Linked DNA regions of Caenorhabditis elegans. The protein of the gene in region 1 interacts with the protein of each later gene in a pairwise test. Each region holds a gene or a part of one and is shown on either strand. Other genes may lie near its edges. The genes, in order: mei-2 and mei-1.

Region 1 (15,624 bases):
CCGAGTTGGTAATCCCCCCAATAGGACATCCCCCGAGTTCTTCGGGTCTCAATTTTTGTATGCTCGATTTTTTTCTCAACAAAATAATTTTTCTTATTTACACTTTGTAAAGTTTATAAAATGTACATTTACTTAAAAACCAGAAAAATATTCTGAAGATTTAAAAAACGATGTAATTCTTTAAAATCTATGATCTGCTGATTAAATCCTAAAAAAATCCTAAAATTTTCTGTTAATTAAAAGGTCAGGCCATGTAGCCACGTATCTAGGGCAAGGTCATGTAATTTTCATGTTTTTTGCTTCATCAAAATTCGATCAAACACGTATTCAAAGTCAACGAAAAATAGAATTTCACCTAGTAATTTCGATTTTTCTCAATAAAACTGGGTTCGTGGCACAAATAGGTCATTTTAACTGAGTGATGCTAAAAAACGATAAGGAAAAGGCGAGGTTTCTGGAGTTTTCAAACGAAAGTGACATCAAAATGCTAGCAACATTTTCTCCAAAGAATTTTCGAGAAACTATAATGAAAAATGTCACACAGAGAGAGCATTAGAAGAAACGATAAGATACTAAATCAAGAGAGTTTGAGAAATTAAGAGACGCAGAGAAAACCAATGGTTTTTCTCAGTTCGTCCCAGTAAAAGTCCGATCAAATCAATCTTTTGCGAGCCGTCAGAGTGCTCCGCAGATGTGCTCAGTGTGTCTATTGGCCAAATGTCACCATCAATTGACCCTTCAAAAATGTTGAGCAACTGACTACAGAGCTCATTCCGGAGCAAGAAAAAAAACATAAATAGCAAATAGAATATGAGTCATCCGACAGGTCATAGTAATGAATGAAATATTTTCTCAGTGCAATATAATTTTATTCATACTAATTTAAGGATCTAAATACATAAAAATTTTCAGACTATAAACAGAATTGAATAGTAGGTAATTGGGAAGAAATTGGACAAAAGAATACTGTAGAAAATATAGTTCATAGAACTTGAATATTGAAATCATTGTACTTGAATCTAGATCTTCTGAACAATCGAGACCCCAGTCATTTCAGCTGGTTGAGGGAGTCCCATAATAGCGAGAACTGTTGGAGCAACATCACAAAGGGCCGGATGACGGTCGGCTGGCTGTAAACGTGTGAAGTGAATAGCTATTTACACCCGTTTGTAAATTAATATTTTCATTTAACATATGGGTTTCTGTTTTTTTTTAAATAAAAATTTCAAACGTTTGACAAAAACTCACATCGACAAATTTGAATCCTGGATGGCTCAAAGTGAGTGGAACACGGTAACATGTGTGAGCAGTGTGTTTTCCACCATCTGGAGCCTTCATCTTTTCAGCATTTCCGTGATCAGCAGTAACCATAAGTGAGTATCCGTGCTTTTGAGTTGCTTCATAGATTCTTCCGATTGCGATATCAGTAGCTTCACAGGCCTTGACAGCAGCTTCATAGACTCCCGTATGCCCGACCATATCTGGTGGAGCAAAGTTGCACATAATGAATGGATGAGTTCCAGCCTCGAGTTGTTCAATCATTTTGTCAGCAACGCCGGCCGCAGACATTTCTGGTTGAAGATCGTAAGTTGCGACCTGGAAATATTCAATTTTCGAAGTTATATCATCAAAGTATTACCTTTGGACTGGGCACTAAACACCTTTCTTCTCCCTCAAATTGTTTTTCAAGTCCTCCATTGAAGAAAAATGTAACGTGAGCGTATTTTTCGGTTTCCGCACAATGAAATTGCGAAACTTTTTGCTCGGCGAGCCACTCAGCCAATACATTTTTGTTCGATGCTGGCGGGAACAGCGATTTGAATGGGAACTCGGCTTTGTATTGAGTCATTCCATATACTTGAAGATTTGATGGATGAGCTAACTTCGAATTGCAATCCTTGTAACGATCCATTCCCATTGCTGCAGAAATCTCACGCATACGATCAGCACGGTAGTCGAAGAAGATGATTGTATCGTCATTTTGAACACGTCCTTTCTCTCCTTGAAGAATGATTGGCTTCAAGAATTCGTCTGTTTCATCAGCAGCGTAACGCTTGCGAACAACTTCAACAACCTGGAAAATGATAATTTTAGATATTATTTAAACTTGCTGAAATTAGAATTCGAATTTCTCTCGGAAACATTTTTAATTGAAATGAATTTGAATTTTTGTTGATTTAAAGTGAAAAGTTTGCATCTTGGTATATCATACATTGTACGGAAGAAAACTACTTTATATTTAGTAAATGATTTTTGATACCTAGAAAATTATAATTAAACGAAATCCAAAACTGTTCATTCTTCGTCTTTTGAATTGTTAATCAGTTTATACGCTAAAATCATACCCCAGCCTCATCGGAAGTCTCTCCAACACCTCCAATCATTGCCTCGTATGCAACATTGATACGCTCCCATCTGTTATCGCGATCCATAGCATAGTAGCGGCCAACTACAGTAGCTAGTTTTCCATATCTGAAAATATTTTTAAACATGTTTCCTAATGGGGTTATTCAAGTAATGTAGCGAAATGTATTTAAATATATTTGTGACGTCACAAATGTATTTAAATACATGTTTTTATATACTTGAATACAGTTGTGGCGTAATTTTTCTACACTTTTTAATTTTCCGACACTACTTGAATAACCCCATAAATTATCACATTATTCTAACCCAGTAGTTTTCTCCAAGAACTCGAGGGTTTGTTCAAGGAATCCAACTCCACTGTTTGGAGAAGTATCACGACCATCTCCGTAGAAATGAAGGTAAAGTTCTGGAACTCCGAGCTCTTTGATGGCCTTAACCAAAGCAAACATGTGATCTGAAATGAGAAAAATCATAAATTGAAAATAAATAAATGAATATTACCAATATGAGAATGAACACCTCCGTCAGAAACAAGTCCGGCCAGATGAAGACGTCCATTTCCGTTTTTAGCACGATCGCAAGCATCCACCAAGCTCTCATTAGTCACCTAAAATTTACGAAATATAATATTCTGAAATAATATTGGAAGCATACAAATTTGTTGTTCTTGACTGCCAGATTAATACGAACAATGTCTTGATAGATAACACGTCCGGCTCCGATGTTCAAATGTCCGACTTCCGAATTTCCCATCAATCCTTCTGGGAGACCAACATGAAGACCATGTGCCTCAATTTGAGCCCAATTGCCTGGAAAAATGTTCTTGGGTTAACAATTTTGAAATAAATAAAATCTTACCCGAACACAGCTTGTCCATAACTGGTGTCTGTGCGTTGAGAATAGCGTTACCGTAAGGATCTTCAGAAACTCCCCATCCATCAATAACGATGAGACAGACCTTATTGGCCACCGAACTGTTATTTGCCATCGCCATTCCTGAAAAATATCGGAATATGATGCAAATTGAAAAATTTTTGAGTTTAAAGGCGAAAACTATTAGCTGTTATAGGGGGATTGTGATTTCTCGCACAAAATATAAAAAGAATAAAAATACTAGATGATGCTTGTGAAGGAATTTCTTTCAAATATATTCGGAGCAAAACTTTTAAATGTAACCTCCATTAAAATTAAAACATTAGCAATCAATTAATATAAAAATAGGTATTAGAAAGAAAAAAGGACAATTAAAAAAAAGGCAAAACAAAATGACGAGATTATGAAAAATGGAATTAAATCAAAACTGTTGATTCGTTATCAAATAAGAAGTTTGATCATCGATCAATTTTGTTTCGAGAAATTTAAAATATAACCAGTGAGAAAAAAATTAAAAAAGAGAACAACAAGAATCCAAAAACCGCTCACCGCGTCGTCCGAAATATTGCCGATAAATTTGAGCGCCCAGGGCTACGAACATCTCTATTTCTCTCCGTCTCTTCTGTCAAGCACTATTTCATTGACTTATTGAAATGTTGAAAGAAATGAGAATAAAATTGAGAAACGTTTTCTGTGTGAGATTTTTGCACGTAAACAACTCTTCTATCACGTATCTCTAACATTTCTCTCATTTCTCAAGAAATTCTCAATTTCTCGTGCTCTCTTCTTGAAGGATTTTCTAGATGTTTGGAGCCGCGCTAAACTATTGATTCGAAACTGAACAAGAAAAAAAACAGAATTGACCCAAAATAGAAGTGTTTGAAAGCGGAGACGCAGAGAGCTGCACGAAAAATGATGCAAAAGTGAAGTATTGAAATTGAAAAGTTTTAGCGAGCGAAATCAAAAAAGTGTATCTTTATTGAGTTTAGTGTCCAAATAAAACCCTTTTTCTCGCACCGCCCGTCTTTTTCAGCGAGACAACGACCACAGACAAATGAAAACTATTGAAACAAGTAAATACATACAAACTTTTGTAATTTCTCAAGTACTCTTCTTTTCTAACATGCATGTTGACATGTAAAATTCTTCTTTTCTAACATGCATGTTAACATGTAAAATAAATTTTATAACAGTTATTTTTCCTGAAATTCGACGGTTTAATAAATATTTACAGGACTTAAACATTTAAATTGATTTTTAAAGATAAATTTAATTAGCATTTTGACAGTGACAGCAATAATATTGAAATATTAAAGAACAATGATTTATAACTTATAACAGATCACAAACAATAGGAACATGATGGAATAGTACAAGATTACGCGAAAATTCCGTATAAGAGGAACACAAAAAAGTATGAATTAAATTAGAATGTAGAAAGTTTTAGTCGTCACCATCCCAAATCGTTTGATCTAGACCGCCATCATCTGGAGCAACCAAATCCTGAAAACAATAAATGTTTCATGAATATTCCATTAAGAGACACAAACCTCATCATCCATGGATTCGTTTTCCTCAGATCCTTGTGAGAAGCCAGCTTCACTTTCAGCTACGTAGCTGTTGCCAGAGCCTGAAAATAGTTGCAAATTGTCAAGCTTATTCAGAATTCAAGAACCACTTTTATCATCTGCAACTGATTCCTCTTTTTTGCCAGATATTTTTGAAGAACTCTTCTTAATTTGCTCTGCAGCTCTTTTTGCTTTTTGTCTGTTATCGAATTCTGCCACATGCGCAGTCATGGAAAACTCAACGTCGTTAAGTTTTTCGTCGGTGCCTGTTGGATTGAAGAAATCATTGAGCATAGATTCATCCTGAGTGGTTCCAGATAGGATCGACTCTTCCGATGTTGCCGATATACTTGCAGCCGGATCGTGGCGTTTAGATGAAACACTCGCCGGGCGGTTAACTTCAGAGGGACCTGAAGTAATCAGAATTTTTCGTACTGTAAAAATTATTATTACGGCCGTAATTATGGGAAATGTGTTCCATTTCGCTTTCTCGGCGAACATTATCAGGCAATTTATCCATGTTTTTCTTGGCCTGCATTGTATCATACTTCTCCATATGAGCAATCATTGAAAACTGTGGACGCATTGAAGTTTGTTCTTTGCTAACCGGAGAATTAAAGAATGCATTCAATCCAGACTCATCCTGTGTTGTGCCTGTATCGTCATCGAATGTTGAATCTTCAGAAGTAGCAGATTCATTTAGCTCCGATGTAATCTTCCGAATAACTTCAGTGGGCGTTGCAGCGTCTTTGTTGATAAGTTTTATCCCTGGATAATGCACACCAATCGGTCCAATAGATCGTGTTGAATCTAAAACTATAAATAATTATAAATTTATTTCTTCTTTGACACAAAGTCTATTAAAAAAACTTTGCAAACTTCTTTGAAAGCGTCGTATTTTGTTATTCAAAAAAGTAAACATGTGGTTGTAATCAAATTGGTATAAAAACAATTAAACATCTTACCTGAAGTGAACGACGACTGCGACGTGGTTCTTTGGTTCCACTTCTTAAAACGCAATGATTTCTCCACATTTCGAACATTGTCACGCTGGAATGACTCTGGTCCGGGAAGTTCAGTGCTAGATGCCACGAGACGCCGAAAAGCCTCCTGAAACAAGACTTGTAATATACTGAATTTGAATGAATAAATACTTCTTTCTTTGATTCCACATTCTCTGGGGTGTCAGATCGTTCCACAGCACGGACAGTCACTTTCAATTTATTTAATGTGATTTTGCTTTCAGCAATTTGTCGCTTGACGTCCTCGATAGCAGATTTCTTCCGAGTCAGAACCTCTTTTTTAACGATATATGCGTTTTCCAATTGGTTTATTTGATCAAAACTCTTACGGACTTTCTTGTTCTGATATTTAATATCTTCCAACGACGCCTCGAGATTTATTATACTTTCTGAGTTTTCAGCTTCAGACTTTTCAAGAGTTTGCAGTTCATCGGAGAGCTCGCATACCTCATTGCAATCAGGAAACTTTTCGATAGATGTAAGATTAATTTTGTTAAGATCACTGAGGTCAGAGCACAACTCATTAAGAGATTCTAGTTGCTGGGTCATCATAGCTGATTCTTGGCTGATCACATCCTGTTTCAATGCGTCTTCATATATTTGCCTGGCTTCGTTTATCTAAATTATAAATTTTACATCCTTTTTTATGAAACAGAAATACCTCCTCTTCCAGTTTCGCTTTATAAACATTTTCACTCGTAGAAGAGTCTTTGACTGAAGAAAGCTTCTCCAGAGACAATTGAATAATATTTGACTCGAGATTTGTATTTACTTGAATCTCTTCTTTTAGCTTCATAATTTCTTTTTCAGTTTGAAATATAAGTTTGCCTGTTGAAGATTGACGCTTTTCCACATCGACTTTTTCATTTTCCAGGTGCTGAACAGCACTCGAAACTTCATCAATGGAAAAAACCATAGTTTCGTGTTTTTTTGCAGATTTTTCAATACACGCTTCATATGGAAGTGTGATCGAAAGCACTGACATTTCCATCGGAAGAGAGTGATTGCCCTTGGAACAGAAAAAATCCATTTTATCAATCGTGGAGTTAACTGAAACACGAAAACTAAAATATTAAAAGTTAAAAGGAAAATGATACCTTGATCAGTAGACTGTGCCAAAAATGAATGAAGTTTCTTCTGGTGATTTTTCACATCTTTATCGCTGACTGACATTTCTTCTGCGGCTGTTGCCGAATGTTTGACTTGTGAACAACACGAATCGACTGAAAAAATGTAATTCGTTTGCAACCAAGAACGAAAATCGCCTACGGAGTGCATGGTTTCTTGATAGGTCTCTACACTGTCTTTGAAAGCTCGAAAACTTTTTTTCGAGTAGGTTATTGCTGAAATTAAATTAATATAAACTGTTTCTTTTTTTGGTGACTTACTTTCTGATGATCGACTTGACTTTCGCTTCATTTTCCAACAAACCAAGTACTGGAGCCATTTACTATAAGAACTAAATTAAATATTAAATATATCGTTTCAAGAATTCATTGGAATGAGGCAAAAGTAAATACTTAGGATTAAAAAATCCAGCTTTATATTAAAAACTTTAAAGGCGCATATGAGATGTTATTCGGGTCCCGCAGCGCTCATGCGGGGTACGATAGTACTTCAAAGAATTACGCGGGAATTTCTTTTATGCGGGAAAACGGTTTTTTCTTGTTTACTAGTTCCTTTCTTTCGTCTAATTTTGATATCTTGTGTTTTTTTCCAATTATAAAATGTTTGTCTCTTCTTAAATTTGAAATTTTGAAATTTTTCAGATGTCAGGGCTTGACGACCGGAAAAAACTAACACATGCAAAAAATAGGAAGCCTCTCAACGACATTCCGAAATCCGCTGAAAACAGACCAAATACAAGATCTACTTCGAGTCGGTGAGTTCTACGAAAAAAGTATCTGAAGCGATTATATTTTTTTCAGACGCGGTGCGGAAAAGGACGTTCCCATCACTTTCATCGGGAGTTCTCGAACTGTGAAAGCCGATCTGCCCGAGTTCACAAATACTCGCTCAAGACGTCCATTGCATTCCGAGTCGAAGAAGGAATTGTCTCGGAACCCGGTTTCGAGAGGTGAAGAACATAGCAGTTCTTTGCCAAAATCCTCCCCAGAATCATCCGTGTCAGTCATGTCATCAAACGCGTCGTTGTGGTCCGCATGCACCGAGGAAGTGAATAAAATCGGTGTTTGTGCGAAGCGAGAGAGCAGAAGTAGGATTTGCAGAGTTTTGATTTTTCAGTTTATGTTTTCTTTTCAGATCTTCGTGTTTATAAGATGAAGAGTTTCACAAGTAACATGGAACAGATATTGTCAAACGACAACCAACTCGCTCCCACAGTCATTAGAATTCTGAATAGTAGAAACTCTTGGTGTCTCAACTCGTGCCATGCTTGTTTAACATTTATCATGGGTTGGTTTTGCTTCCTGATAAATTTATTCTAATGTTTTGTAATTCAGAAAATATCACGAGCGACAATTATGGGAAGCGATCGGCTTGCTTGAAGGCTCTTGCATCAATTACCAACAGTTTACTGGACACAATCATCGGATTTGCATCCACCAAAACTCGGCGAATTGGAGTCGATGTGGTAGCTGAAGAGCGAGCTGCAAAAGCAACAGAGTGCATTCACAATTTTCGCAAAATAGTTAAAAATCGGGACAAAATCTACAAACAGATTGACCAGGAGACAATTTACAAACTCGATGCCATTCTCGAGCGATTGAAAAAAGTTTCCAGCCATAAGTAATTTTCTTGTAAATAATTGCATACTTATTATTCAACCGATGGTTATCACCCAACTCACTGTTTATTTTATTGCTCATACATTGTGTTTCTTACATGTCCAATATAAAAACTATCATGTGCTCTCGTATTGTGACTTAAAAACAAAAATGGGCTAATTTAATGTCCCTCACAGTATCGTACGAAAACGGTGATTCATTGTCTATGGAATCGTTTTTCTCTGAAGTCTCTGAGCGAGTGCGCCCCATTGCAATCGATGTGTACACCTCGTGGAGGAACTGATTTTCGCATAAGCTTCTCGTCATTTCTAGAAGTTTCTTAATTTTCTAATAAGTTAACAATAATTTTGTTCCAATTTCTTATTTATCGACACTCGGAGGCTTCTCCCACTGCTAAAACTGTCTCAAAATCAATTTTCAGAAATGAAGGTGAATGTGTCGTGTTCATCCGTTCAAACTACAATCGACATTCTTGAGGAAAATCAAGGAGAAGACGAATCTATTTTGACACTTGGGCAGCTACGCGATCGAATCGCCACCGACAATGATGTTGATGTTGAAACCATGAAGTTGTTGCACAGAGGTTGTTTCTGATTTTTTGGAATAATGAGACAAAGTATTTTACAGGAAAGTTTCTTCAAGGCGCCGACGATGTCTCCCTTTCTACTTTAAATTTTAAAGAAAATGATAAAATCATTGTGATGGGTGGAAAAAATGCTTTGGTTGATGACGCGGGCTTCAAAATGCTCATGCAATATGAGAAGCATAATTTGAGCAATCTTCAAAAAGCCTATGATCTCAATTTGAGAGATGTCGCTGATTTGGAACGTGGTTTTCTCGAAAAACCAAAGCAGGTCGAGATGGGGAAAAAGCTGGAAAAGAAAGTGAAATATTTCAACGAAGAGGCGGAAAGACATCTGGAAACTCTTGATGGGATGAATATTATCACTGAAACTACTCCCGAAAATCAGGTGTGTCATAATTTTATTTTGTACTTTGAATAAGTTTTCGATTCAGTTCAATCAACTTTCAGGCTAAGCGAAACCGTGAAAAACGCAAGACGCTCGTAAACGGAATCCAAACTCTTCTTAATCAAAATGACGCACTTCTTCGGAGACTCCAGGAATATCAGTCAGTTCTCAACGGAGACATTCCTGAATAATTCTCAATTGCATAAAATTGCTTCGGGTTTTTATGTTATGAAACTCAGTTATAAATCAATAAATTATATTCTTATGCTATGTATCAAAGGGAGGAAAAGGGGCAAAACAACTGACGGGACCCATTAAAATGAGAAGGCTGCTAATTACAAAAAAAAGAGCAATGGTGTGAAAAAATTAATAACGAGTTCTTTTATCATTGAAAAATGATTTGAGCAGGAAAACTTGGCCAATTCCAATGAATACTACGACGGCAGATTGACCAAGGGACCAGATCATCACGCGCTCGTTGAGTTCTTCTGCACGTTTGCGACCAGTTGCTTCACGGAGACGATGATGAGTTTGATAGTCATCAATCTACAAAAAAGTTTATAAGTATGTCAAATGTCGGGTGAACAACTTTTTTAGTAAGCTCCCAGCAAAATAGAGTTGGAAAAATGAACGAATTCATAAAATTCGAAAAAGTTACGTTTTGAGCATTTTCTAATTGTAAAAATAAATCTTTTTAAATAAAAATCTTACTGTTCTCAATTTATCTCCAATAGCGACTGCATAATTTTCTAATTGAGTCATTGCATGAGCTCCTTGAGTAACGGCAGCATGAAGAGCATTTTGATCACCGAATTGCCAATCCATGTAAACGATTTTATGAGAGAATGTGGAGAATTCATTTGAAAAGCATGCTTTGTATGTTCCTTCAACTTCGGCCTTGAAGTTGATACTGTCGTACTGCTTTTTAGTATCTTTATACAAAACTTTTCCATTTGGATCCTCAATGATCAAGTCTACGTCATAATGGCCTCCAGTAACAACCTGAAATTATCAAATTATTACAGTTTCTACGATTTTCAATTGAAATACTAACTTGGAATTCAAACACTGTGTCAACATCCTTTTTCAGATCTTCATAAAAACACTGATTTGCGTTGTCTGGAAGTTCGAATGTCAATTCGATTGACAGACCTAGGGCCACAAGAATTGATGAAACTATGACAAATTTGAGCATGATCTTGGCTGAAAAGTTGAAATATTTTTACAAATTTATTCGAATTGGATAAGAAGCAATACAAAATTATAATTATTCTATTAATAGAGAGAAAACGTGAAAAGGAGAGAAATTCGACGCATGGAAAATGCCAACAGAACACTAGTTCAAAGGGGCGCACTTGCAGCGCACAATATTTATATTTAATTATACAATAAATATATTATAAATAGAACATAAAATAGAACACATTAGAACATTGCACATTTTGTGCTCAATTGTAAGAGAAGGCTAAATTCATTATTTTGTATTAAATATTAATATCAATAAAATATTCACAAATTGACAGAATAACTTCAACGTAATAAAAGAAATTGGTGTAAAATGCAACATTTTTATTTATTTTCAATAGATAAATTAGCTAAAAACTAAAATTCATCAAAAGAATCATTAGAACTGCTTTCCTCAGATAGATTCAGTTTACTATTAGCTGGTACAAGAAGTGCTCCTCCTTTCCCGCGACCTATTCCTCTGGCACGAGTTACACGTTTCACAGCTGTTTTGCTCTTCTTGATTTGTTTATCAACTTTCTTTTCTTTTGACATTTCATTGTTTTTCATAGTTCCCGCTACACGTTGTCCAATTTTGTCCAGCGCCTCGACAATTTTTTTCGACCATTTTAGTTCGAGAGAACTATCCAATTTCTGTGCGAAAAATCGGTCTAATCGCATTTGGCTTTGTCCACCGGATTTTAGAAAATTATTCCATTTTTCGAAAGCGTCAAATGAATTCTGCTCTTCGTTGTGCTGTTTGCGATCAGGCCATTGAAGGCGTTGATGAAGAATTCGACGGATCAATGGAATATTCATCTGGCGCCATCGAAGTTTTTCTGATGATGAATCAACGATGGGATGAAGGTAGGCATGCACAGCGTCTTGATTAGAGCACACCTGAAATTGAATTGAACTATTAGGAATTTAAGAGAAACATGAGTTTCAGTATGTTGTTTTGTTTTCAAAAATCTAAAAATAAGTACACATTTGATATTCTCCATATCGTTTGCTTCAGTTACATGTCTTCTCAACATCATTGCATTTCGACTAGCAACTCGTTTATCATCCGGAGCAGTTAAGAACAAACTTTCCACGTTTTTAAGGAGCCTCATGATCTGAAACTTTTCATAAGGGACTCCATCACATGTGTAATTATCTTACCCTGTTCTCAATGACTTTAAGATCATTTGTATTATCAATCCTACATTCAACATACTCGGACACCAGTTCAAGTGCACCAATGGCTCCAACTTTTACAAGTCCTGCACAATAATCACCCCCAGAGAGCAGAGCAATTGAAATGTAGTCCTCACGTTGGAGACCTAGATTTTTAGAATTCAGGAAATATTCTAATGTTTGCCATAAATCTTACAAAAAAGTTTGCAATTATCTCTATTCGCTGTTGTCTGCTCTCCATATCGTTGTACTCTCCGATTCTTAGAAAACATATGACGATATACATGTTGTGCTCCAAACGCCCACACATCACTATCATCACTAACGACACCATCAACTAATCCAAGTCTCTCCAGCTCAACACATTGAGCTTCCGCTTCACCAGGCGATTCGATCCACGGAATGCCTGCATTTGTAAGAAATTCTTGAAGATCACGATATAATTCAGGCGTCTTATCATCCTCATCACTATAGTTCAAATGAATATAATCTTCCATGAGAGCAGGAGCAGAAGATGTTGATGGCTTATCGTATCGTTGAGGATCCCATTCAATCTCCTCATCTTCACTTGGAACCTTGTGTTTCTCCAAGCTAGCCATTCTCTTATCCAATGATTTTGCAGCTGTTTCAAGTAGAACTTCTTGAAGAACCATCTCATCGTCGCTGACTTCTAAAAAAATAATAAAACAAGTTTTGTTTATATTTTAAATGTTTTACCAATCATATCATCTTCTATTCTCTGTTCCTTTTTTCTTTTTTCTTCCTCTTTCTTATCTTCTACAGTTTCAGTACCATAATGTTGTCGAATTCTTTTTCTCGCAATTGCTTCCAACATTCCCGATTTACTCTGATATCCTCTTTCTTTCTTGTCAATTAAACGTTCCTCTAATCTGTCAACAATCTCTTCTCGTACATCATCAGGTGTCACTTCTCTGCTTAATTTCTTTCCACCATATTCTACATTGAAAAAGTCAAGTGTCATTGATAAAGGTTCTTGATAAAGACTATCGATATCTCGTTTTAATTCTGGGCGAACTTCTTGAATCTCATCACTATGTGCATATTTTAAAATGTGAGAAGTTCCATCTGGTCCAGTTACGTTGATTTTATCAGAAGAGTATCCACCTGTGGAGGTTGTTGTAGACTTGGCTAACTGAAATTATAGAATGTGGATTTAAAGCGATTTTTCACTAAAAACTTTTCGGAAACCGTAAATATCCGCTTCAAGAACTACAGTAACCCACTTTTAAAAAATGTTTTTTTCTAAAGTTTTAATGTGTTTCAGAGTTTTTTTCTTCATAAATAAAAAAACTTCTTAAAAATGTGGAAAAATCAAAGAAAATTGAACGGATTATGACTTCAGTTTATACATTTTTATAAGTAGCAAATTATGTAATTCAATAAAGTTACTTGTTCAATTTCTGCATTCAGACGACCTCTTCTGAGTAGACGCTGCATTTGAAAATTGCTGAAACTTTTCGAATCTTGTGGAATCTGAAAATCGTTTTAGCTTATTGTAAAAACACTTTTTTAAAAGATAAAATCCAACCATATCAGGCCGTAATCTGCTATTTCTCATGATCTCTCTTTTTTCCACGAGACTTTGAATTTCCAGTTTCCGAGAAGTAAATTGTTTCGAAATTCGTTCTTCTTTTACAGTAGGTACAATAATAATATCACTATCATCTGAATCTGAATCTTCAATATTTCCATAAACAAGCTGATCATTTTGATGTGCAGAAGGTTTATCCAAATATGTGCTTGTTGAGGGAATATCCTTATAAATGTCGTTCAGAATTACTTTTTTCGATGGACTTATAACTTCTTTGATTGCATTCGCAAGTGCCACGTCATCAAGACCACCACTGGCAATTTCCTGAAAATTGATTGGTTTAACAAAAGAATTTGGAAATAATTTAAAACTTTTTAAACAGTTAAAAACTTCAAAAAAATTGATGCGAGAATATAGAGCCGGGTCTTGAAACGAATCGATATATTTTAATGAAGATCGTGAAGAGTGTGCTCATTTTTTTGCTCTTTTAAAAAACAAAAAAAATCTAGTTTGTCTTTTAACAACCAAAAATTTAATTGCAAAAAATAGGAAACGGGAGCTACAGTACTACTTAAAGGCGCATAACCATTTTCGGAGTATTTTTCAAAGAAAATTTTCGGTTGTTTCGAGACCGTGCGCCGTATTCTTGCTTCATGAACAGAGCTTTTTCGTTGTTTTTCGTCATGTTTTTGATGGAAAAATTTTGTTATTTTTTCGCTGTCTGAAAAATTCATGAAGTTCTAAATAAATTAATTTTACCCTAATTTTTTGAGATTTTTTCAGCACCTTTAATTTTCCCATTTTCTTCGAATTCTTAAGAATATCATCATCATTCTGTCTTTTTTGCCGTCTCGCTTCTAAGACTTGACGTTTGAGAGGTGGTACTTGTGGTCCATCAAACACGAAAACAGGACGAATTTTGTAGAATAAAAGTTTAGAGAGACGATTTACAAGGAGACGCAGATGTGGAAACGGTTGATCCGATGGATATGCGAGTTGAGCCTGATAGATCCAAATTGAAACATCTGAAAAAATGATAAAAATTACAAAACATGTAATGTCAGAATAAAAGTGAAAAGTACAGTACCCCAATACATGAAAACTTAAATATACGAAATAAAACAATTTTACATAGTTTTGAATTTGTTTTTTAGCTTACCAATTGCCAATTTTTTTCCTTCTAAACATTCCAAAGGAATCTCTGTTGCCGTTGGTTCTACAATTTTCCATAATCCAGTGATTCCCATATCTTGAATTAATTTCTATAATTGGGAAATTTGATGATAAATCAAATATATTACATTAGAATTGCGTGACATAAAAACCAATATATACTGGTATAAGGAACTGGTATAAGTAAAAATTTTATGAACTAAAAAAGGTTTTTTGAAAATAAGGAAAAAAAGAACCCGAAAGAAAACAATCGTTATAATCTGAAAATGGGGGGTTGGACCGGATGAGAAAAAGCAAAATGTGAGTTTGATATTTAAAACAAAAAAATTAAGGCAATCGCTATGGCAATGTTTTTGATTCTTTAGTTAAAAAAGATCTAAATGAGGGAACTGGACTATACACAACAGAAAATAATAAAATCAGGTGCAAATTCTACAGGAATCTATGAGAAAATATACAAAATAAAAACTACAAATGTGATATTCGAAAGGGAAAAACTGAATTTGGAAGCTGTAGAGCTGGATGCAAATTGATCTCCGTATTTGTCCAATAAATCCAAAATAACGCCATTTGTCCAACCAAAGCCAGTCTGGAAATGATTTTTTTTTCCAATTTTTTCTGTTAATTTACATTATTTTCTCAGTGGGATTTTGCTTGAAAATATCCAGAATAGTTCAAAATTTAGGAATACGAAAAGAAAAAAAGAAGAATCATCTAACTTTTGAAAAAAACAAACAAAAATTCAGTCAAAATTGAGAAATCGCTTTTTGAAAAAAAACTTTTCAATTTTTCTGATTATTTTTTTTTCCATTTGTGGAATTTCGGAATTACATCTTTAAATACTCACTTGAACTTCATATTCTCCTCCACCTCCTCCAGAAGTTTCTTCAGTATGTGGAGTAACATTATACTTTTCAAACATAGCATGAGTTCTGATAAATGACTGAT
Region 2 (16,833 bases), 1.7 Mb from region 1:
AAACTTAGTAAAATATCTGAACGATCTGTTTTTCAGGTAATTCGTCCGTCTCCACACACTTCGACATCGAATTTAACAACTGAAAATACTCCACTTTTGAAGGATGAGGAACCACCAAAAACTAATCCAGATGAACCAAAAGTCTAATTTTTCTAATTTGAAAGCCTTCCCCACTTCCTCTTATCGTGGTCCAGCCCATCACAGATCTTTCTCAATTTTTCCTTACAGTCCACCGTCATAATTCCGTTTGTTATCCCCCGTAAGAGAATCGTGTTCCACAAAATTTGCTTTCTTTTTTTTTTGATCTTTCTTCTTCCAAAATGTTAACCTTTTAGACAATTAAAATTCACACATGAAATTTCCTAAACACTTATCCACTAATAGTTACCCTTCATAAGGGCGGTTTTTTATTCAGTTTCTTTTCTAATCGATGTTTATTTTCTTTCCTGTATCGTTTTTTTTCACTGTCTTCTTTTCTTATATTTCTTTCACAAATGAACTTTTATATATTTCCAAATAATCCAGTGAGTGGCAAAATGATTCATTTTACATACAAATTTAACCAATAAGTATTTTACAGGAAAGAGTGAATCGGGGAGAGATGTTTGGATGAAGGTGGCCTTGAAAATTTTATCTGTACAATGTTTCAGAGTTTCAAAAACCAAAGCTAGGCCACAATATTTTAAACTAAAAGGAGATCACAATAAATAGTTGATTTACATGGCACCAAAAGAGTCACACCATTCTTTGCATTTGAGCATTGTATCTGGACCAGCACTTGGTGAAACTGCTTGAAGAGCTGCTTCAAAGTCAATGTTCCTCACGAGTTCGGCTTTCAGTGATTCCATTGCAGCTGTCAGTTCCCCGCCTCGCAATGATTTGGTGTCGTATCTGAAATATCTTAAGGATTCTTAGTGTCGATTCTTGAAAAAAGTGTTGCAACATCGCGATTAGCAAAATTTTTTCAGCAAACGTACAAAATTGGCTTTTTTTTAATTATGATAATCCAACTTTTCAATCTTAAATTGATATCGAAATTTATAAAAACGGTTCATTTCATCTTAAAATGTTATTTAATTTTGTCTACAAGCGTTTAAAAACATTAAATAGTGCATGAAAGTTGCCATTTCTATACCAGTTTTTGATTCGAAATATTGGATTATCTTATTGAAACAAGCACGTTTTCCAAAAAGATTTTCTGCACATTCCTGCTACCTACCTTCTCAACACATTGATAGCAGCAGTTCTGCATAGAGACACAACATCAGCTCCTGAGAATCCTTCAGTCCTTGCCGCCAAGTCATCATAGTTAATTTCATCGGATTTCGGAGTTCCTTCCATTGATTTTTCGATAAGCTTCTTTCTTGCATCTATATCTGGCAGTGGAATGAAGATTCGCTTTTCGAAACGTCTTCGGAGTGCCTCATCGAGCTCCCATGGAATATTTGTGGCGGCCAGCACGAATACACGTCGCGAATCGAATTTATTCTGTGACCCGTCCATTTGTACCAGAAACTCGGATTTAACACGCCGACTCGCTTCGTGTTCTCCAGAATTTCCACGTTGTCCACCAAGTGTGTCAATCTCATCGATGAAGATTATGGATGGAGCATAGAACCGTGCAAGTTCGAATAACAGACGAACAATCTTCTCGGAATCACCACGCCACTTGCTGGACAGATCAGTCGAGGAAACGGTAAAAAAAGTTGAACTAGACTCTGAAGCAATCGCACGTGCGATAAGAGTCTTTCCAGTTCCAGGTGGTCCAGCGAGAACCATTGCTTTCCATGGTGAACGGAGACCCTGGAAGAATTCTGGCACCAAGAGTGGAAGAGTGACGGCTTCGTGCAGAACTTGCTTCACGTCGTGCATTCCGATTATATCATCTAAAGACATTGTATTTTCCGTATTTGTAGCCATTGTACCACGCACCGCTTGAACAATGTACTGAAAAGATTTCTGATTTTTGTTTCTGGAAAACATAATAACTTACCGCATCATAAGCCGATGCATCGAATGAATCTCCAGCACTATTTTGAGGCAGTATTCCTTGTGTTGGATTCGCAGGCTTCACATCAGCCGGATTCGTGCTCATCGACGACGTTGACTTTGATATTTCTCTGGGACGTGGACCTGCTGCTCCAACTCCTTTCTTTGTTGCTCCAAATTTCGATGAGGATGGTAACGGTGGCGATGGTTTGGACCAAACATCTGGGTCTGCAGGTGGCTCTGGACTTCCACTTTGTCGCGTCATCGCCTCGTGTAGGTCATCTTCATCGCGCACATTTTGTTGGACAAGCTTCAAATTAGCCTCTAGGGCTCGTAGGAATGTCTGAAATTTCAAATAATTCAACAAGCTTTTAAAAGATTTATATTACGTACATTTCTTGCGTCATGCTCGTCTCTGTTGCTTGCCGAAATTTTACAGCTTTTGACATCTGTCATGAGCTGACGAAGAAGATCACCAGCCTCATTCCATCGTCCGGCATCGGACATTGTTTTCGCGACTTGGGCTCGCTCCAGATATCCGCGAATGACTGACTGCACATCCCCATTCATCCTGAAAATATACTTTAATTTTTCAATAATATACACTTCTACAGACGAGAGGATGAAATTTAGTATAAGACAATGGGATTTGGCGGAGAAGAAAATGGCAAGATGATGAATGATAACGAATAGGGAAACGACGGAACGGAGTGTGCGTGGACTTTATTAGATGGGAGAAGAAGATTGTACCGTGAAGATGAATTTAATATTATTTACAGAATAAAATGGTTGAATAGAAAACGATTTTTCTTTTTTTACTTGATATTGGCTCACTTGTTGGAAACATTGAAAGAGTTTAGCCGCAAAACAACAAGTATTTACAGCGGTAGATCACACAAAAAATGATAGGTCAAAAAAAGTTTTAGGAATTAAATCCTTAGCAAAAGGCTTGAAATCTGAGATCTTTCAGCGAGATATAAATGATTAGAACCTTCTAATTGCATATCACTTGAATAAAACCAAAATTAAGCGGCGAGTTATTGATTTTTCAGAAAACAGATTTCTGCTGGTCAAACCTCAGAATTAGCTCATCCGCGACAAACAATTAATTTACACAAAGCAAAAAAAAAAAAATTGATTAATAAAGAGAAGAAACAAGAGCAGTTTGAAAAGGAAATAATTGTTTCACTTGTTTAACAAAAAAAGATCATAAAGGTATAGACGAAATTTGTGTTGTCCGGAGCCAGTTTGATTTGCACAATTATAGTGTAACTTCTTAAAAGATATCTATAGAAAGCTTTTCATAAAAAGTAAAAAAATAATTGCTCAGGGCTCCGCGGAGCTGGAGCTCCGGAAGTATGGCGCAAAAGTACAAGTGTCGTCAGTTAAAATGTCGAGTACGCAATACACCCCAGACACTGTCACGTCTGAATGCACAATCGCTTGCAATTTGAACACTTTCAATTTTCGAATTTTAGCGGAATTCCGCGGAAAACTTTTACATTTTCTTAAATATTCTTCTCATTTTTTAGGATTATTATTATTAATTGGTTTTTTAAAACTGCCGTGTAGTCCATCATTGTACTGATTCGAGATTAAACGCGTTATTTTTGTTCAAATTCCGAGAAGAAACTCAAGAAACAAAAGGAAATTTTAAACCCTATGGAATTATCAAGTTAAAACCGTAAGAAGTTTTACAGAACTCCCGGAAAAATTTTATTTATCAGAAATCTCAATTTTATAAGTTAATGTTTCTACCGTGCTTACTATATTTTTAATACCACTTCACATGACATTAGTATCTCTTTCAGATGACGGATGTCGCTCGAGAATTCGGGATAGCTGTCAGCGACTCCTCCACGGTCTTCGCCTTCCTAACAGATAAAAAAGGATTTTCAAATAAAGGTAAAAATTGCATCTTCTTCAGTTTCCAACATAAGAGATTTTTCAGAAACAGTCTTGGTCGAGAAAGTTTCACAAAATCGACAAATTCTTGCGACACCAAATCTCAGACGACTTGTTATCGAAATGTATTCTGTATTTGATAAATGTCAAAAAGGCTCCTCACCTGATGCACCTCTAGACACGCCTACTTGCTGCACATTCTCTCGAGCTTATCGTTCAGTTCTCTACAATGCCGCCGTGTCTCACAGCAGTTCCGACTTCATGACAGACTTTGCTTTGTGGTCACTTTACGAGAAATTATGGTTTGGAAGAGGTGATAGCTCGATATGTGCGGATCTTATTTCATGGGCCAATCAGAGCTTCACGTTTTCTAGAGGAGCCATGGAATCAGCTGTGGAATATCTGCATCCGGGGAAGACGATTCCAGAAGAATATTGGAAGGGAGTAGCAGTCAGCTTGCTTAGTTGCAATTTCAGCGATTGTGTTGAACTGTTGGAGCTACATGGAGGCGGATCAGAATGTGATGCATTCATTGAGGCTCTCACATTCTTCAATCCCGAAAACTTAGTCGACGAAGCATTAGTAAGACCCATTTATATAATAATTCTTAAACTTCGTAATATTCTTATTTCAGGCTAACACAGTAAATGAATGGAAGGATATCATGCGTGAAAATTTGACAAGTGGGAAGTACGGGAGCAACGAAAATTTCAAATATCTTACGAAGCTCCTACTCGGTGAGGAACGATACCTCGTATCTATGGCTTCACGGATTTTCGACACGTGGTGGCATTTTCTGCCATTCTTTGTGCTTGTCAAGAATCCATTCGCCGGACATGTCGAGCTCATTGAGCTAGCTGATGAGTGTAGAACACTATTCGTTGGAGAAGAGGAAGAGGAGGGTGCAAAGGAAAATGATGTATTCTGGTGTCTTATTTCGAAGGATGATATTAACTTTCAACAGGTTCTTGTTTTTATTCAAGAAATTAAATTAAATATAAATATCTCTTGAAAATAGGCTCACTATTTCTTTCACGATTAATTAAACGGCGACAGAACATTTCATTCAATTTTATCCCAATAAAAAAAAATCAAAATAATGTTCAAGAATATTTAACAATTTTCTTCAAAATAAATTCTAGATTGTTTTAAATAAGAATTAATTAATTTTACTGAATAAAATTTCAGTTGATTGCCTCGAATCCCTGGCTCGCAGTTCACCTGGTTGATCTTATTCACAAATCCACATTGGATCCCGAGTTTGAAGTGATGAGGAAAATGCACATGTTGGACTACGCCAGTGTTCTTATCTCTCATTCTCCGTTAGTTTTTGAAATTTCTAATTACTGAAAAAACATTTTAAAATATAACTTCACAAATTTTTTATAGTCTGTGGGAAATCGGAGCCGGATATCTTATTGCGTGTGGTACCGAAGGACTTCTACGTCTCGAAACACACATCGAAGGGCTTCACATTGAGGATGATGAGATGGCTGAGCAGTTGCTGGAAATATGTGAAGAGCATCGACTGGAAGACGCGAAAAGTTGTGTGACAAATACAATGACTTTCCGGTATCTGAAGCAAGGACATTGGAGTTCAACACTCGCTTGGGCGTTGAAAACTGGATCCAAAAAGACAATTGACTGGACAGTATCTCGAATTGTTGGTTCAAGTTCGAAGGATGAATTGGCTGCATTAAGAGTTTTATCTTCAATAACCAATCATTCTGTACTCTCACTTCCATCTCTTACCTTCCTCTACTCTTATCAACGATTTGTGAAGATGATGCACTGTGGTGATGTACTGGACTGTGTTCAACATCTGATACCGCTTATTATGATGCCTGATGTTCCAACTCAGTATTACTATGATCTCTTCGATTATTTAATCACGATTATCAAAGAGGATGGGCGTGCTGGAATCCGATTTTCCAAGGAGATTCTCTATGAGCTCTCAACCTTTTTGTCAACGTTTACGCTTGATAAACATCGAGATTTGAATGATAATTATATGAAAAAGGTAAGTTTTATAGACATTTTTATGATCATATAATTATAAATTGTTACAGGTGAAAGTGCTCAAAAAGATGGTAATGCTCAAGTTGACAGACTCGATTGCGAAAGGAATTGCGTGCTCTTGAATAATTTATGAATTAATTTTATTTTATTTACATTTGCCGATGTTCTTTTTTGTTCTGGGATCTCAGAAAATTTAATTTTTTGTATGTGAATAAGGATCACATCTCTTAATTTTTTTACTATTACTTGGTTTTCCACACAAACTCGTTGAATTTCGAGGCCAACCTACCTTCTTTTCGAGTTTTCCCCAGAGATCGATAGTGACCTATGTGCTATGCAACCGTGCCCCATTGCACGTCCACAAGGCCTCGTCAGCTCCCTCGTCCTCTTTTTTCTGTTTCGACAGAAAACTGCTGGAGTTTATGAATTTATGTGGGCGCACATGACTGTGATCTATTGATTTTCTTCTGCTTTTTTCAATAATTCTGAACCATTTCACCCAACCTGTACCCATAATTTCAGGCAGTTGTGTGCTTTGCGCGCAACTCGGCCAGTCATCGACGTGAACGCCACGGCTTCTGCTCGCTGGCGCCAACTCGATTCCACTTCGGTGAGTTATCATTAAAATATTATCAAAAAAAAATTTCTTTTGATTACAGGCAGAGTCTGGTTCGCAGTCAGAACAAAGCGCTAGTTTGTCTGGATCAGAAGTCATGAGTAGTTCGGAGGAGGTTTGTATTATATTTCTATTTTCTGCGGAAAACAATCAGAAAAATCTAAATAGCCGTTTTTTTTAATGATTTATATTTTAAACTATGAATTTAATAACAAGTTTTATGGTCGATTGGTGAAATTTATTTTTAGTTTCGAATCTTTTTTTTTGTTCAGGTATCATGGATCACATGGTTCTGTGGCCTTCGTGGAAATGAGTTTTTCTGTGAAGTCGACGAGGAATATATTCAGGATCGGTTCAATTTGACAGGTCTCAATGAGCAAGTGCCCAAGTATCGACAGGCTCTTGACATGATTCTTGACTTAGAACCAGGTGATATTTTTGCTGACTTCATGTGCCCCCGCAATGTAACCTTTTTCTAGAAGATGACATAGAGGATAACGCAACGAACACTGATCTTGTTGAACAAGCCGCTGAAATGCTTTATGGACTCATTCACGCTAGATATATTCTTACGAATAGAGGAATCTCACAGATGGTCGAAAAGTGGCGTGATCATGACTTTGGAGTTTGCCCACGTGTCTACTGTGAAAATCAGCCAATGCTTCCAATTGGTGAGTTATAAAAAAATCGCTACTTCATTGGTTGCGGATAATTTTTTTTGAGAAAAGTGAAACTATAAAGTACTAAATTTTCCTAATTTAAAAGTGCATTTCCAATAAAATTTAAAACAAATATTTGTTTTTACACTAAAATTTCTGTAAAATTCCAATTTTTCCAGGATTGTCTGATGTTCCTGGCGAGGCTATGGTGAAATTGTACTGTCCACGTTGCAATGATGTTTTCGTTCCACGATCATCACGTCATCAACATACTGATGGAAGCTATTTTGGCACCGGATTCCCACATATGCTCTTCTTTGTTCATCCTGATCTGCGTCCACGCAGACCAGTCACTCAATTCGTTCCAAAGTATGTCAGAGGATATATATTAAGCTAAATATTTGAAAATCCGAAATTCTAATTTAAAAAATCTTTAAAATCTCGGCAATCGAGTAAATCTTTTCATTTCAGTATACCAATTAAACTTTTTGAATAAAAAATGAAGTAAAATATTTGCTTGATTCGAAAACACAACTTAATAATGTTGGAAAATTCAAAACGACTAGTGTCTGAAGGTTATTTTTTCGGCATTCGGCAACTTTCAGGCTCTATTTGAGATCTTTTTTCAAATATTTCAACAAGAATAAGTTGCAATTTCGAATCAATAAAATATTTTGACACATTTCTAAAATCATTTTTAATTCAAAAAGTTGACTTGGTAGACTGAAATTAGAAGATTTACTCTATTGCCGAAATAAGTTGGCTGTACTAAATTAGATTCGAAATAATTTTAGAAATTAGAAGATCAAACAATAATATTTTATCCACTTTAAAAATTTAGCAGAACTTAGTACAATAATAATTATGTTATGTGTAAATTTTTAAATATCAAAATTTTCAGACTCTACGGTTTCAAAATTCATCCTGTTGCTTATGGAGGACAGGAGGGAAACAGCGGCGGAAATACGGCGAATAACGTTGCCGCAGCACAAAACAACACGACTCCAGCCGGGCAACAATCTGGAGGACAATTCAATAATTATGGTCTCTGAGCCACTTTCTTCCTTATTTTTGTTTTGATTTCTTCTTTCCAGTTTCCATTCAGAATGTCCCCCCTCTCAACACAACATCCTTATTTTCTTCATTGTTTCGTTTTTTCTTCTCCCCAAAATTTTCTTTTCCGACAAAACTCAAGAATCCGGCGGTTCTTCCATGCGTGTTTCTCTTCTTTTCTAAATCTGTTCTATTCCAACATTATGCGAATTTAAGAAATGAATGAAACGGTAGATCCCATACATCTCAAAAAGAGTGTTCCTAATTTTCTGTGTAAAAAGTGCAACGTTATTTATTTGTGCCTGTCTTCGTCACGCGGAAACAGCTGGGCGGGAAAGTGCGCTCTACTGCAGTCTCTCAGTCACAGCCTTCGATTCTGCCATCGACGTCATGTGTTTCTTTTCTTTTTTATTTACTATTTGAACGGTTTTAATATCTCCAGTTGATTTGGTTAACGATTAGCACATTGATTTCTGCTTATTTTGAAATATTTCAAAATTACAATTTTTGAAAACGCTCCATATTTTACCTGAAGAAAAAACTTTTGAACAGCTTTTCACATTAATTCCAATATATTTTTAAATTATATTGCATAAACGTGAAATTTTGCGAGGAAAAGGCGATACCCCGGTCTCGATACGCCTTTTTTGTAAAATAAAAACGGACGTGTACCTTTATAGAGTACTGTAATATCAAACTATCGTTGCTGCAAAATTTTTATCGATTTTCAGTGTTTTTCGGTAAAAATGTATTTGTTAAAAAAAATAATAAAAGAAAACGACACAAAATTTTTACAAATCGTGGGAAAAAGTATGAAAAGTCGATAAAAATTCAGTAGCAATGAACGTTTAAAATAACAGTACTTCTTAAAGGCGCAGACCCATTTGTTTTCAGAAAACAATCGTCGCGCCCAGACCGGGTACCGTACTATTGGCGGAAAAAAAATTTAGAAAAGAATATACCAAGTAAATATCAGTTCTCAATTTTAATATATATTTTTCTTGTGAATCATAGTTTAAAAATTCTTCTTTGTTTTTTCTCCAACTCTTCAAAAATTAAATAAAAGCTTTTACAGCTTTGAATCATCGAAAATGAATGGAAAACAGCAAGTCACAAAGAAACCATCAACTGAAGAAGATCTGAGCTTCACGGTTTGTTTTAAAGTCAAAAAATCAATAATAAATATTTTCCAAAGAAATTCAAGGTTGTACCAGATGTTGGTCTAAAAAGTTCACAATTCGAATTTGTGCTTGGTATGCCAATCAATCAATGTATTGCAATGATTCAGCAACATCCAAGAATGCTTACAAAAGTCGAATTGAAGTACAGTAAAAAGGTATAGAAATTAACTAATTATACTTTTAAATAAAGTTAAATTAAATTCAGGATCCATTCTACCAGGATATCATCATCTATATCGGTTCTACAGGAATTCGTCTCTATTTTGATGGCCTTTCACAGCTTATCAAGCTAATTGAAGTGGATAATCTTTCAATGATTACACTTACTTATAAGTATGATACCATCAAAAAAAAAAAACTACAGAAGCTCGTTTAAAACTATTGAATTTAAAACAAATTATGGCGTTTTGAAAATTCGAAAAATTTCAGCCTTGCATAAAATCTGAAAATTGAAAATTCTCTCTGTTGAATTCGGTCGTTTCGGGTCATTGTGAAACTATCAAAGAAAAAAAATCAATTTCAATTGCCAAGATAGTCATACAATTTCTTCATAAAAATTTTCAGCGATACAATCTTCTCTGATCCAAATAACATGGCGACGTTGGATCGGGTCAACGAATTTTTTGGATCGACACATCCAGGATCATATGATGATAAGCACAATATCTATGTGCAAAGTTGGCCGGGATTATCTTTCTGTTTCCCATATGGAGGAGAAAATTCGAATTTGGAAGTCAGGGTACTGTAGTTTGATCTTTTTGGGTATTAAAGTTGGAGTACCGTCTGTGGGTTTTTTCGAATCAAAAATACGATACCGAATATAGTAAAAAATTAAAAGAGTTTTTTCTAACCTACAGCCGCTACTTCACCTTTAATTTCCAAAAAGTTTTTTATATCTCCCAAAAACCGAAATTTCAAACATTCTTCAATTTCAGCCTGGATTTGGTGGAAATCTTCGTTCGCTGAAATATGATGCCAACTCTCAACCAAAACTTACCAAGATGTCCATTTATCGTGGACCAAATCCATCTGAGCCAGAGTGAGAATTTATTATTTATTTCTATTTATTTCTCAAAATTTGAAGATCCGTGGATACTCCATTCTCGTGTTATTGTGGTCAAAATCGGACGAGAAAAGTCGAAGCAATTTGGGAAAATGGGAATATTGTTGGAATTGATATTCAATTTGATACTCAAAGTACTGGAATTTTTTGAAATTATTAAAAAAAGTGAATATTTGCAGACGGAAGAATTGTCGATGGAGAGTATGATGTATCCACGTACACACGACAAATCTATTTTGGAGACTCTGTTTCGGTTGGTTTTCTCAATCAAAAAAATTTGTTCTAAAAATTTAAATTTTAGGATGTGCAATCGATTCTTGGAGCCCCGACAAAGGTCTTCTACAAGTCCGATGACAAGATGAAGTACGTTCTCGTTCTCTTGAAAATTCAAATTCTTTTCTCACAAATTTAGATTTATTTTCAATAGATGTTGAATTTTCCACTGAAAATTTAAACAATTTTTGAAGAAAAATTTTCTTAAAAAAAGTTGAAGGGTTTCAATGTAAGCGTTTTATATCAATTAAAAATAATTCATATAGCATTTTGTTGATATTCAGCAATATCCAATGAATAAATTAAAAAATTGTGAAAAAAGTTCTTTTTTTTCAAAATGCCTGAAATTTATTTAACAACTTTCCAACTAATATTTAAAAAGGATAAATTTTGAAAAAAAAAGTTAAAAGATTTCAGAAAATTTCATTAAAAAAATATTTAAAAATTCAGGAACGCCTAAAATTTCTCGAAAACTGAAGTTTTTAAAATTTAACCATTAACAGTTTCTAGCTTTATCAAAATTTCCGCTTCATCTGAATATTGAAAATTTCCAGAATTCATCGTGGACTTCACAAGGAGACACTCTATGGACCACCAAATTTCTTCTTCAACTACTTTGTAATGGGATTGGTAAGGTTTTTAGGGATTTAGATTACTGTAGCAATTCTTGCTATTGGGTACTATATTTTGTCTGTCAATGAGTCGAAGTTAATGTTCCAATCCCTTGTAATTGAACATATCCGGGAAAGGGATCGCTAATGCACACGCAATGGCTATTGTAGACAAATCTTTCTTCCGCATATGATAATAATCTGGGTAATCGTAGTGGTGGCTCCCTCTTGCATGTCCATGGCGTCCGGAAAGATTTACGACTCTGTAGAGAGAGAGAGAGAGAGAGAGAGACTCTTCGTTTGTGACACTTGTACGAATTTTCATCTGCTACATTTAACAAGAAGACGACTGAATTACTACTACACACTAATGACCTTCGTTTTTTGACACCGCACAGTTTATTTCATCAAGCAGTAAAGAAACTGAATGAGAGGACAAAGAAGGTGTCAATTCATTTTTTGTCGGAAGATGGATCAGAATTTCAAAGAAAACACAGCTATGGTCAATGATGAAAGCTTTTGTATGATTGAAAATTTCCTGCGTCATGGTTTCCTGAAATTGTAGTCTTTTTAGCTCATAGAAAACTTTTACCGACGCTCACGATCCTTACACAGGTGATTCGCCGTTTATGGACACCAACAGTAGGCTTCTACCCACAATGGATCTATACCAAAGGTTTTGGGTTTTGAATTTGTCGTCGATATATTAAATCTTCATTAACAAATTCCCCCGGAATTTTGAATATGAGGCAGATGTGCTGCCATATAAAGAATATTTATACAAGAAAGATGTCAATTAATTTAAAACCACGCGCGAACATACGATGGCAAGTCTTGGAAATTAGCTTTTGTAGTTTCAACAAGACTACTTCTTTTTGATCCAAGAAGCTTTGGTTGACTTCCAGAAGATTGATGCTTTTGTTTATTGAATCGTAGAGAAATTCGATCACAAAATTGTATACTCAAACTGAAAGTATACAATTTTATTGACTGTTCAAAAGCATAGAATAGTGGTAATTATCGAAAGAGACGGATGTTTACATGTGTACTTGTGCGACGAACACCGATCCGTCATTTTTCATAGTTATGTCTTGTTCTTCGTGGTCATCTATCCAACTTAATTGGCATTGGCTTACTCCAATTGTTTTGGGTGTCACTTGGGAATCTAACGGATGAGACGACGTGTCATAACAGATTGTGCAATCTACATCCACGAATTCGCGCGCGTGTGCACATACATACGCACATCAATTTATTATTCGAATGGCTCATAAACTCATAAATTAACGAGTCCCTGTCGAACAACCAATTTTCAATTCATAAACGTCAAAATTTTGTGGCTACGGAGATTTTCCCGCGGAGTTTTTTTAAACGAAAAAGTCAACTCTCCTTCTCGAAACCTTCTCAATTATGCATTTGTCTTGGTGTGCATTTGACAAATGAGTTGACCCCCACAGAGAACCAGGGCGTAAAGACAACAGCCTCGCCGATTTATTACTTCTTTGCCGACGGATTTACGGCCGAGAAGAGGTGTCTTACCTCTTGAAAACTACTATTATGCTGCTGATTAAGGCTCCTGTCTATTTCATTGAACTTGGTATATCTACGAGCAGTTTATTTTATTTACAGACAAAGGGTTAAACAATTGAACACCGTATCGAAAAAGGGGGCAAAAATACATGAAAATGGGGCTGGGAGATCGAACGACTAGATGGATGCAAATAATCACACGGATTTAGATTTTTGAAACATTTGAAACTCTCAAAAGGATATTTAAATGCCAAAATAGGATGATCCAGGTTTTGGAGGTGCTGGTGGAATCAATGGAGGAGTGGCTTTAAATGTTTCAGTACTAACCAAGAATGGATCAAATGGTGGTGATAATGGACCATGTGTATCATTTGTACTCGAAGAGCAACTATGTGTGTTTGCCATCGTGAGTGGAGTTCGAGAGTGTTCTCGTGTCACATATGATCCTTTGTACTGTCGCTCACGAAGGAAATAGATGCATCCAAGAATCATAAGAAGTAGTGCGGCAAAAAGGAGAACTCCTGCGAGAAGTATGAGCATTTCACTTGTTTGCGTTAATCCATACCGTGCACCAAACAAAACGGCACAGTCGTTTACCTGAAGTTTTTAAATAGTGAAATTAATAACGTGAATGTGAATCTTACGTCGGTAATTGCCAGAACTGAATGACCTTCCACAAGCGATGGTGTCGCGCATCGGACATTATCGTAGTTGAGAATGTGTCTCATCGCATAACGATCTCGCATATGAACCTGAAAAGATGTTCGAATTAATTCAGAAATAAGAGAGGAAAAGACTCACTTGAAGTCCTTGAATAGCACATGAACAATCCCAAGGATTTCCATCTACGTACACTTGTTCAACATTATTTAGGAATGCCAAATCTGTATGCGAGAAGGTGTGGAATCGGTTGGCTGTGATGTCGAAAGTCTAAAGAAATCTCAGTGAGCAGGTTTCAAATGACATGCGTGTCCCCATATAAGGGGGTCCACAAACGCTTCGAATTTCGTATAGAAAATGGACATACTTTCACATTTGGAAGCAAAGTGTTGATATTGTCAGGCAAATAAGTCAATTCATTTCCGGAAATGTTCAATGAAATCAGGTGGTAATAGCGAGACGGCAGCTGTACCGGGATGAATTTGATGTGGTTGTAGGCCAGTTCGAGATGAATCAACGACTTCAATGTATAGGTCCATGACTCCTCGAAATCTAAAATTACAAATTAATTATGCCATCTCTAGTAACTTTGAAAAACCGTTCTTCAAATTTAAAAATCGGAAAAACTTTTAAATTAAAAACAATCTAAAAAGTTTTAAAAATCTAGTTTTGGGGTTATTTTAACTTTTGCTACAAAAACTCACTTTTCAAGAAATTTCCTGACAATGCAATCGAAGTCAGCTCTTCTTGTGCCCATCCCAACCATTTTGAGTCAAAATCATTCATATGATTGAATGACAAATCCAGATGACGTAATGGCATCGTTCGGAACGCATCCTCGTTAAACGGAGAGTCTTTCGAAATTCCGAGCAAATTGTGGGAAAGATCCAATTTTGAGATATTCGTATTGCAAAATGCACAGGCTGTGATTTCTTGAATGGAATTGTGAGACAAGTCGAGAACAGAAAGTTGAGGAAGAGATCTCAGTTCTTTAGTTGGAACCATTTTGAGATTATTTCCTCCGATTCCAAGTTGACGGAGTTGAGGAATACGATCAAGAGCCAGAGAATAAATTGATGAAAGATTGCAATGATTCAAATATAATTCATCCAATTGGGAAACATCTGTGAATAACTCATTGATGTGTTCAATTGGAATAGGATTCCGGTCTAGTCGTAGAACTCGAAGAGAATTGAGACCTCGAAGTAAATTTGTAGAAAGATCACTGATAGTATTATTGGATAGAGACAATGATCGCAGGGCTCTAAGATATGTGAATACTCCAGTTGGAAGAATATTCAAATGATTCGATGATAAATCCAATACTCGAAGTTTTGGCATACCACCAAAGTTGCTCATTGTCGCATGCTCAATATTGTTTGAGTGTAGATCTAATACTTCCAAAGATGGCAGTCGAATGGATCGGGACATTGCTGGAATCTGACAATTGATGAGACGAAGAACTCGAAGCTGTGCAAAACGGTTTATGTTGTCATTCCATCGAAGTTTGTTAGAACCAATGCGATTTGAGGGCGGCTAAAACAATTTATGTAAATGAAGGGATTAGATTGACGGACGGACGTTGTGGTTTTAGATCTTATCGTTTACTAACCTGAATATGAAGTGATCGAAGAGTCAACGGAAGTTGGTTTAGAATTTCCGCGTAAATCGTATCGTTTATGATTGCCTTTCGACAATAAACACTCCAAGACGAGTCATTTTGATCGCATTCACAAAGATTCGGACATGATGATGGTAGTGCAATAGAGCATAATACCAAAAAACTTAAAAATAAAAGCAAAATGTATGAAATCATTGTTCCAATTCGGAACAAAGAATCCTTGACTTCTCCAGAAGACAAACAACACAGCAGCTAGAAGCAGCAAACGTGAGGCAAAACACCATGAGAAGGCGAAGGGGACGGGCGGATAAAGGGGCGGGGCTTAAGGCGAAGGAGGGTCAACAGAGACACCACCCATGGGAAGAAGAAGAAGAAGGATGACCGGATAGAAGAGGAAGAAGCAATGTGTGCCTGACAGCACCACCTAATGTTGTTTTCATGTACCAGAGGGTGGCAATTATCACACCACTAAAAGAAAATCTATTCCCGCTTCAGGCGTTTTTGGCGTCGGGTGGTGGATGCTTGAGTTTTCTTGGAAGCAAGAGGGTGTTTGACTGAATATAATAGTTCTAAAAAATTTCAGAACCATCTCCAAGGACGAAGTTGAGCTTATCTATGTGAAGATCTATGTAATATCATTATCATCTGAGCTCAAGCAAAACTTTGCTCCTAAAATCTCAACGTCATGCTAAGGTTTCTGATGGAGATTGCATTCACGAACTTATCATATATTCATGAGGTTCTGTTAAATTGTGCAGCTCCACTCGCCCCCGTTCTCGATTGCACCCGGCTGTTCCCTAGATTTCTTCAATTTTCCCTTCAAAGTGATTTTACGAAAGCTCCAAATTATAGAGAATGCTCTAAAGTGATTCAAACGGGCATTGAAAAAAAACAAACGTCTTCCTGTAATAGTGGTCAAGGATGCCAGATGTGAAAGGGTGGGCATCACCAAATGTCAGCAGGCAGGCGCTTTTCGTTTACGACTTGCCCTTTTATTGGTGTACCCGTGTGTGTGTGTGTGGTAATAAAAGGTGATGGTGACTCTTTTCTCTGGATAGTGTTCATATTGACTATGGTGCGAAGATAATTGAGCAGAAGATGACGACGACAAGTGGTGGGAGAAGACAAGCATCGGAATTGTCGACGACATATGGTTCAAATTTGGTGGTAATTCATCCGTCATATCGAGTACCACAGAATACACTTGGCATCGAATAAAGGATCCTGTGGACAAATAATGAGCTGTTTTTTATCCGGTCAACCGAGGGGAATACTGTAAATTCAATTAGAGGAATACGGTACTTTACAGTAAATATCCATACCGTGTCATAAAAGCTTTACGAAGTATTTTCATGAAAAACGTTCTTATAAAATTATGCTTAATTTCGCATACTGATTCTTATCCGACGATTCGGTAAATCATAAAGACCAATGACTAATGCAAGAGACCTCTCAAACTGTATGTCAACACCCAATCAATCTCATTGCAAGATATTCCCGTCAGCATCCAAAACCCAAAGAAAGTGTCAAATTGCTCCTTCCAACACATTTTCGCTTATAAACTCATTAATCAAAATGTTCAATTTCCGTTTGAGATTGAATCTTTTCCGGGTTGTCGGCAAACTTTAACCCAATTCCACCGCATTCGTTGTC

Evidence for each region.
Region 2: the proteins of mei-2 (region 1) and mei-1 interact in binary tests that used the Caenorhabditis elegans proteins (3 or more experiments, as listed by UniProt).

The regions. Positions count from the first base shown.
Region 1 is NC_003279.8:6,557,826-6,573,449, reverse strand, and holds mei-2 (Meiotic spindle formation protein 2), read left to right. Parts: upstream 1-7,597; 5' UTR 7,598-7,599; coding exon 7,600-7,712; intron 7,713-7,758; coding exon 7,759-8,045; intron 8,046-8,092; coding exon 8,093-8,245; intron 8,246-8,292; coding exon 8,293-8,582; 3' UTR 8,583-8,701; downstream 8,702-15,624. Other genes in the region: ipgm-1 (2,3-bisphosphoglycerate-independent phosphoglycerate mutase), read right to left, coding at 1,020-1,130, 1,249-1,596, 1,640-2,074, 2,346-2,472, 2,674-2,821, 2,869-2,974, 3,022-3,176, 3,226-3,363 and 1 more; syp-6 (Thyroid receptor-interacting protein 11), read right to left, coding at 4,684-4,743, 4,791-4,870, 4,916-5,218, 5,262-5,624, 5,774-5,918, 5,963-6,448, 6,492-6,880, 6,928-7,053 and 2 more; bag-1 (BAG family molecular chaperone regulator 1), read left to right, coding at 9,001-9,160, 9,205-9,548, 9,611-9,739; tmed-3 (GOLD domain-containing protein), read right to left, coding at 9,915-10,094, 10,260-10,550, 10,603-10,743; xpg-1 (XPG (Xeroderma Pigmentosum group G) DNA repair gene homolog), read right to left, coding at 11,151-11,672, 11,759-11,890, 11,937-12,097, 12,148-12,621, 12,669-13,104, 13,362-13,445, 13,501-13,827, 14,290-14,528 and 1 more; tre-1 (Trehalase), read right to left, coding at 15,119-15,265, 15,524-15,624. UniProt on the Caenorhabditis elegans protein: Forms a heterodimeric complex in conjunction with mei-1 which severs microtubules in vitro in an ATP-dependent manner. This activity may promote rapid reorganization of cellular microtubule arrays. May act to target mei-1 within the cell.
Region 2 is NC_003279.8:8,280,608-8,297,440, reverse strand, and holds mei-1 (Meiotic spindle formation protein mei-1), read right to left. Parts: upstream 2,568-16,833; 5' UTR 2,560-2,567; coding exon 2,383-2,559; intron 2,333-2,382; coding exon 1,994-2,332; intron 1,948-1,993; coding exon 1,220-1,947; intron 901-1,219; coding exon 717-900; 3' UTR 501-716; downstream 1-500. Other genes in the region: abts-1 (Anion exchange protein), read left to right, coding at 37-147; npp-2 (Nuclear pore complex protein Nup85), read left to right, coding at 3,801-3,894, 3,941-4,476, 4,529-4,858, 5,083-5,216, 5,284-5,914, 5,964-6,035; kin-10 (Casein kinase II subunit beta), read left to right, coding at 6,627-6,644, 6,802-6,958, 7,009-7,200, 7,368-7,557, 8,090-8,240; dma-1 (LRRCT domain-containing protein), read right to left, coding at 13,143-13,496, 13,544-13,651, 13,701-13,829, 13,927-14,111, 14,264-15,095, 15,172-15,375; phaf-1 (PHAF1 protein T01G9.2), read left to right, coding at 9,333-9,392, 9,437-9,577, 9,628-9,755, 9,987-10,161, 10,358-10,461, 10,507-10,619, 10,665-10,738, 10,787-10,848 and 1 more. UniProt on the Caenorhabditis elegans protein: Catalytic subunit of a complex which severs microtubules in an ATP-dependent manner. Microtubule severing may promote rapid reorganization of cellular microtubule arrays.